Saccharomyces cerevisiae S288C: one gene and its partner. The protein of the gene in region 2 binds, or shares a complex with, the protein of the main gene of each other region. Each region holds a gene or a part of one and is shown on either strand. Other genes may lie near its edges. The genes, in order: SGT2 and MDY2. A codon is read from its position in the direction of its gene.

Region 1 (3,597 bases), 230 kb from region 2:
CTCGCTAACTTCGGATACTTTGGCAACGAGCAGTACTAGCTCTCAATCACAGGACGCCACTTCGATAATCTATTCCACTACTTTTCACACTGAGGGCGGTTCCACAATTTTTGTCACGAACACCATCACGGCAAGTGCACAGAATTCAGGATCGGCCACAGGTACAGCTGGATCTGACTCTACGAGTGGAAGTAAAACTCATAAAAAGAAAGCCAATGTAGGGGCAATTGTAGGCGGCGTTGTAGGTGGTGTAGTGGGAGCCGTAGCCATTGCTCTTTGTATCTTGTTGATTGTCAGACACATTAATATGAAGCGGGAACAAGACAGGATGGAAAAGGAATACCAAGAGGCGATAAAACCAGTTGAGTACCCTGATAAACTATACGCCTCTTCATTTTCATCTAATCACGGGCCCTCTTCAGGTAGCTTCGAGGAGGAGCACACCAAAGGGCAAACTGATATTAACCCTTTCGACGACTCAAGGAGAATAAGTAACGGAACATTCATAAATGGCGGACCAGGAGGGAAAAACAACGTTTTAACAGTGGTCAATCCAGACGAAGCTGATTGAAGAAACCCAAAAAAAATTATTATATTCTTAAACTATTGCCAAGCAAGTCTTGTTCCTTCCCATTAATTTTTTCTTTTTCCGATTTCATTTTGCCAAATCATCTCCATTTTCACATTATGATGATCCTCTAAAAATTCATACATTTCGAATTTGAGAGCTGGAGAGCTGGAAGTAACGAGGAACATTAAATAGGAACAACAAAATTAGATTAGTTATTTTTTTTTCTACTCATTAATTTTTTTATGATATATTTGAATACCAACCTTAACTTAGTTACATAGATTTAACAAACATTAAACATGTTAATTCTTTGAAATGAATACCACCTAATAAAACTATACATTTTCAAAATAACAAATTGTTATGAAACTAATAGCTAATTATCTTCTAGTGACAATAACCACTTTACTAGAAATTATTAAAAAAATACCGCGTTGAAAGACGATATAAAGTAGGAGATTAATAAATTTATATTCATATTTTCTTCAATCTAATGAAATTGAAGCGCAAGGATTGATTATGTGATAGGATGCGTGAGTAGTAATGCATGAAAAAGGAGGAAGACGTGATTATAATATATGATGTAAAATTTTGATTCCATTTTGCGGATTCCTGTATCCTCGAGGAAAGACCTCTGGCATATTATATAGGGATATTATTCCTTTACAAAAAATGGAATGAAAGAATCAAAACAAAATTGTCATGTTTGCACAATTGCGTATACCATTGCATATAATTATGTCGAAAATCATCAATATGTATGGGAATGATCATTCCATTTTTTTCACACTGGCATAATAATTTGAATATAATAATAATGGATGATGGGCATTATTGGGAAATAAAACTATGAAATTTGCTTTTAGTACGTGTATCGATAAATATCTCTAATTTTCTCAAGATCTGTTCCTCGTGGCCCAATGGTCACGGCGTCTGGCTACGAACCAGAAGATTCCAGGTTCAAGTCCTGGCGGGGAAGATTTTTTTTAACATTGAATAGAAATTACAAAGGTCTTTTATGCTATTTTAAAGGGCTATAGGCGGCATAATATTTGCTTTTAACCTTATTGTCATGACATTCTAATCACAACACTTAGCCCTTCTTTTGTATTTTTCCAAACTTTTTCAAGTCTTAAAATTTTCCCAATCGAAAAAAATGGAAGATCCGAGAAGGTTTTATTGCCCTACGCTTAATCCCAAATTTTGCCACCATATAAAATGAGTACGAGCGATATAATCGGACAACTGAATAGAAGCTTCTGACCAAGTGATATCTTATTAATACAAATCTACTGTACGATGTCAGCATCAAAAGAAGAAATTGCTGCCCTTATTGTAAACTACTTTTCTTCCATTGTGGAAAAGAAAGAAATTTCAGAAGATGGCGCCGATTCTTTAAATGTTGCTATGGACTGTATCTCTGAAGCCTTTGGCTTTGAAAGAGAAGCTGTTTCAGGCATTTTAGGCAAGTCTGAATTCAAGGGTCAACATCTTGCTGATATATTAAATTCTGCGTCAAGAGTTCCAGAATCGAATAAGAAAGACGATGCTGAGAATGTCGAGATTAATATTCCAGAAGATGATGCGGAAACTAAAGCCAAAGCTGAGGACTTGAAAATGCAAGGTAATAAAGCAATGGCCAACAAGGATTACGAACTGGCAATCAATAAATATACTGAAGCCATTAAAGTTTTACCAACGAATGCTATTTATTACGCCAATAGAGCGGCTGCTCATTCATCCCTGAAAGAATATGATCAAGCGGTCAAAGACGCTGAATCTGCAATTTCTATTGACCCATCTTATTTCAGAGGCTACTCTAGATTGGGTTTTGCTAAATATGCGCAAGGTAAACCCGAAGAAGCCCTTGAAGCATACAAAAAGGTTCTTGATATAGAGGGCGATAATGCAACAGAAGCTATGAAAAGGGATTATGAAAGTGCCAAGAAGAAGGTTGAGCAATCTTTGAATCTGGAGAAAACCGTTCCAGAACAGTCAAGGGATGCTGATGTCGATGCAAGTCAGGGTGCTAGTGCGGGTGGATTGCCAGATCTTGGTTCTTTATTAGGAGGTGGTCTTGGAGGTTTAATGAACAACCCACAATTGATGCAGGCTGCGCAAAAAATGATGAGCAATCCAGGTGCAATGCAGAATATTCAAAAAATGATGCAAGATCCAAGTATCAGACAGATGGCTGAAGGCTTTGCTTCAGGCGGAGGAACTCCAAATTTGTCTGACTTGATGAATAACCCAGCACTCAGAAACATGGCAGGCAATCTTTTTGGTGGAGCAGGTGCCCAATCTACAGATGAAACACCAGACAATGAGAACAAGCAATAGTGGACTGAAATAAGCCTTTAATGCAATACATGTTATGTAGATACAAATATAGCTCTATCTAGGATGAGTGTTACCAGGAATTTTATTTTTACTTTGAGATCACTTGCGAAATACTTAAATAGGGACTGTAGTTTACTTTTTCTTTTTTTCAGGTAAATTCGTCGATTTTCGGAGAAGACTAGAAAATATAATGTGATGAGAAACTACATAAAAAAATTTTTACTAGTAAATGTCTATTTGAAATACTTTATCGAAAAGCTTTTTATGTAAATCTGTATAGAACTTCTCGCGTAAGACAGTTGAGTAAGCAGTAACAATGGGAAAAGGTAAAAATAAGATGCACGAACCCAAAAATGGAAGACCACAGAGAGGCGCTAATGGGCACAGTTCCAGGCAAAACCATAGGCGCATGGAAATGAAGTACGATAATTCAGAAAAAATGAAGTTTCCTGTTAAACTGGCTATGTGGGATTTTGATCATTGCGATCCAAAGAGATGCAGTGGTAAAAAACTTGAAAGGTTGGGCTTAATTAAATCATTGAGAGTTGGACAGAAATTTCAAGGTATTGTCGTTTCGCCAAACGGCAAAGGTGTTGTTTGCCCTGATGATCTAGAAATTGTCGAACAACACGGCGCTTCGGTGGTCGAGTGTTCTTGGGCACGTTTAGAAGAGGTACCCTTCAATA
Region 2 (3,063 bases):
ATCAAGGAATATTTACCCGAGATATGGTCACACATTGAGTCATCGTATATGAATGGCAATGGCAGCACTGACCAGATATCAGGGCCAGCATCGGGGGAAGAATATCTCTGCAGGCTGCCTACGCTGACGCTGTGTACGGCAAGTTGGTTTATGAGCTGTTTTGTGGGCGTGGTGCCCATCGAAACGACCCTGAGAATATGGGACTGTTTATTCTATGAAGAGTCTCATTTTTTATTTAAAGTGGCTTTGGGGATACTGAAATTGAGCGAAAGCGAGTTTTTGGAGAGTAAAAGCCAGAAACTGTTTAGACAGTACTCTTCGTACACCTTCGGTGGTAGTAATGACTCTGATTCAACTTTCAAAAGATTAAAGAACAAGATTAAGACGCAGGAAGAGGCAGATATGGAGATTTTGCAAGTGATTCAAAATTTCCCAAAAAGATTGCTCAATCCGAATGATATCTTTGAGAAAGTCCTGATGAAGAAGAAGGTTGCGTTGAATGGTATTACCCAGGAAAAGATTGATCGCGGTAGAGAGTATGTGGCGATGGCGAGAAATAGACAAAGGGCGAGTAGCCGCCCAAAGGAAAGAAGAAAATAGTAAGCGCAACCGTGATAAAAAGCGCAACTGTGTAAAATAACAAGTATGTACGTACTAACTATACTAATCTTATTTGGCCAGAGACCAGCCTTTTTGTAGACGCTCCATGACTTGCCTAACCGCAGCCTGATCGTTCTCGAAATTGTTCTTCAGAAGAGCCTCGATATCATCCCAGGGCACAGTGAGTTCCTGTGGAGGAGCAGGAGCAGGGGAGTTAGTGGATTTCTCGGCTTCGGGTTCCTTAGATATAGTCGGATTCGGCTTAATCATGACTGTGATTGTGGAATTGGCAGGCGTGACCTTCAAATCCGATAAGAACAGGTTATCGTGGAGGACTTTGCCCTTCAAAAGCAGTTTTATCTCGCTTATGTGGGAGGCCTTTTCCTCGCTGATCAAGTGCTGTTTTATTTGTAAGATAGTATCTGATGGGCTGAAATCATGCTCGATGGAGAACTTGGGAGCTTGAATTTTCTTTAAGGTTAAGTGGACGGCGGCGTTGTCTTGACCTTGCTGATCTTGGTGCAGTTTTAACTTCTTGGCACGATTCTGCTTATATTTATACTTCAAAGTAGGCAACGGGACACCCAAATTGGTAACATCCTTCAGAGGTTTAGTATAGCTTTTTGGTAGCTTCGGTTCAGTTAAAGTGGCTAAGGTCAAGAATTTACTAACGAACTCGTGTTCTGGACCGCTGGCGGATGTGCTCATGATTAATTTTGTATAAAGTTATTATTCTTCGCTAGTTTATCTCTGTATCGGTCTGTTCTAACCCTTTTCTCCAACTATGTTCTCCTGTGCATGTTTTCTTCTTTTCGTTTTTCCTTTGTTTTTTTTGGTCGTAGTTGTCGCAAGCTCGGCCTCCGGCCTGATTTTAAAACTATTCCTAATTCAAGATTCGGTAAAAAAGATATATAATAGCTAAGGGGAGGAGAGGAATAAGAGGAAAAAGTTACATTAGAGGACAATACTCAATCTAACCCTTACTAGATGTGCGATAGCCATCAAAAGGAAGAAGATAACGCAAATACGAGCGAAAGGGCGTTATTTTTTAATTACCATGAGTTTTCGTATTCATTCTACGAAGACCTCGGTTCCGAAGACGCTAAACCCACAGAGCACGACGAAGACCACAAATTGTGTATTACACATTTCCCGAATGTGTATGCTGCTCGGGGCTCTGCCGAGTTCCAGGTGACCCGGGTGGTACGAGTGCCCCGGCGGTTCGATGAGTCTCGCAGCAGCCTTGAAACGCCACAATTTAGTACACAGCTTCCCGGTAGCGAGCCGGCGGCAATCGTGGGCGACGATGGCACTAGCTTTGTGCGGTGCGGGCGTTACGACATTGGGGATCACGTGTTTGGCTGCTCCTCCGTCTCGCCTCTGTCAGAATATCTTAGTGCGGCAGAGCTCGCGGAGGTTGTGCACCGGGTAAACGGATTCTTGCTGCGTGAAGAAGGTGAGGTGTTCGGGTGGCGTAACTTAAGTGGCCTGTTGCTCGATATGCTTACGGGCGGTCTGTGGAGCTGGGTTTTGGGGCCCCTTCTTTCTAGACCTGTGTTTCAGGAGTCTCTCGCGTTAGAGCAGTACGTGGCGCAGCTAAACTCGCCGGGAGGTCTGCTTCACGAGCGCGGTGTGCGCCTAGTATTGCCCCGACGGTCCGGGTGCCTATCCCTAGATTTCGTCGTGCCCCGACCCAAATAGTTAAACGTGTGGTTTATGGGTGCACCAGGGCTTTATCGTGTTTTATATCGATGGCGATTTGTGCCTCCAGTGTATTTTTGTATATCCAATTAAGGTTTCTTACCTAATTTTATTTTTATCATCTTTAGTTAATGCTGGTTTGCTCTGTTTCTGCTGCTTTCTGTGCGGTTCTCCTCTTCTCTTGTTTCTTCGTGTTGTCCCCCATCGCCGATGGGCTTATATGGCGTATATATATAGAGCGAGTTTTTACGTCGAAGATCATCTCAGTTTGCTTGATAGCCTTTCTACTTTATTACTTTCGTTTTTAACCTCATTATACTTTAGTTTTCTTTGATCGGTTTTTTTCTCTGTATACTTAAAAGTTCAAATCAAAGAAACATACAAAACTACGTTTATATCAATTAATAATGTCTGAAATTCAAAACAAAGCTGAAACTGCCGCCCAAGATGTCCAACAAAAGTTGGAAGAAACCAAAGAATCTTTGCAAAACAAGGGCCAAGAAGTAAAGGAACAAGCTGAAGCTTCTATCGACAACCTAAAAAATGAAGCTACTCCAGAAGCTGAACAGGTGAAGAAGGAAGAACAAAACATTGCTGATGGTGTCGAACAAAAGAAGACCGAAGCTGCCAACAAAGTTGAAGAAACTAAGAAGCAAGCTTCCGCCGCCGTCAGTGAGAAGAAGGAAACCAAGAAGGAAGGCGGTTTCTTGAAGAAATTGAACCGTAAAATTGCTTCCATTTTCAACTAATCACACTTGAATG

What was found.
Region 1: the proteins of MDY2 (region 2) and SGT2 are in contact, whole or in part, in an NMR structure (PDB 4ASW), measured with the Saccharomyces cerevisiae proteins. Residues at the interface, in NP_014530.1 of Saccharomyces cerevisiae: Gln82 (codon at 1,065), Lys118 (codon at 957), Leu120 (codon at 951), Gly123 (codon at 942), Lys124 (codon at 939), Val125 (codon at 936), His127 (codon at 930), Met147 (codon at 870), Lys149 (codon at 864), Asn151 (codon at 858); in NP_014649.1 of Saccharomyces cerevisiae: Asp28 (codon at 1,952), Gly29 (codon at 1,955), Asp31 (codon at 1,961), Ser32 (codon at 1,964), Asn34 (codon at 1,970), Val35 (codon at 1,973), Asp38 (codon at 1,982), Cys39 (codon at 1,985), Glu42 (codon at 1,994), Arg48 (codon at 2,012).

Annotation. Positions count from the first base shown.
Region 1 is NC_001147.6:338,252-341,848, reverse strand, and holds SGT2 (Sgt2p), read left to right. Parts: upstream 1-1,870; coding exon 1,871-2,911; downstream 2,912-3,597. Other genes in the region: SLG1 (Slg1p), read left to right, coding at 1-571; ribosome biogenesis protein TSR3, read left to right, coding at 3,228-3,597. UniProt on the Saccharomyces cerevisiae protein: Co-chaperone that binds to the molecular chaperone Hsp70 (SSA1 and SSA2). Regulates Hsp70 ATPase activity. Required for recovery from heat shock.
Region 2 is NC_001147.6:107,589-110,651, forward strand, and holds MDY2 (Mdy2p), read right to left. Parts: upstream 1,309-3,063; coding exon 670-1,308; downstream 1-669. Other genes in the region: Rab GTPase-activating protein MSB4, read left to right, coding at 1-600; SHR5 (Shr5p), read left to right, coding at 1,588-2,301; ZEO1 (Zeo1p), read left to right, coding at 2,709-3,050. UniProt on the Saccharomyces cerevisiae protein: Required for efficient mating. Involved in the production of alpha-factor, the KAR9 and TUB1 location to the shmoo tip and nuclear migration into pheromone-induced shmoos.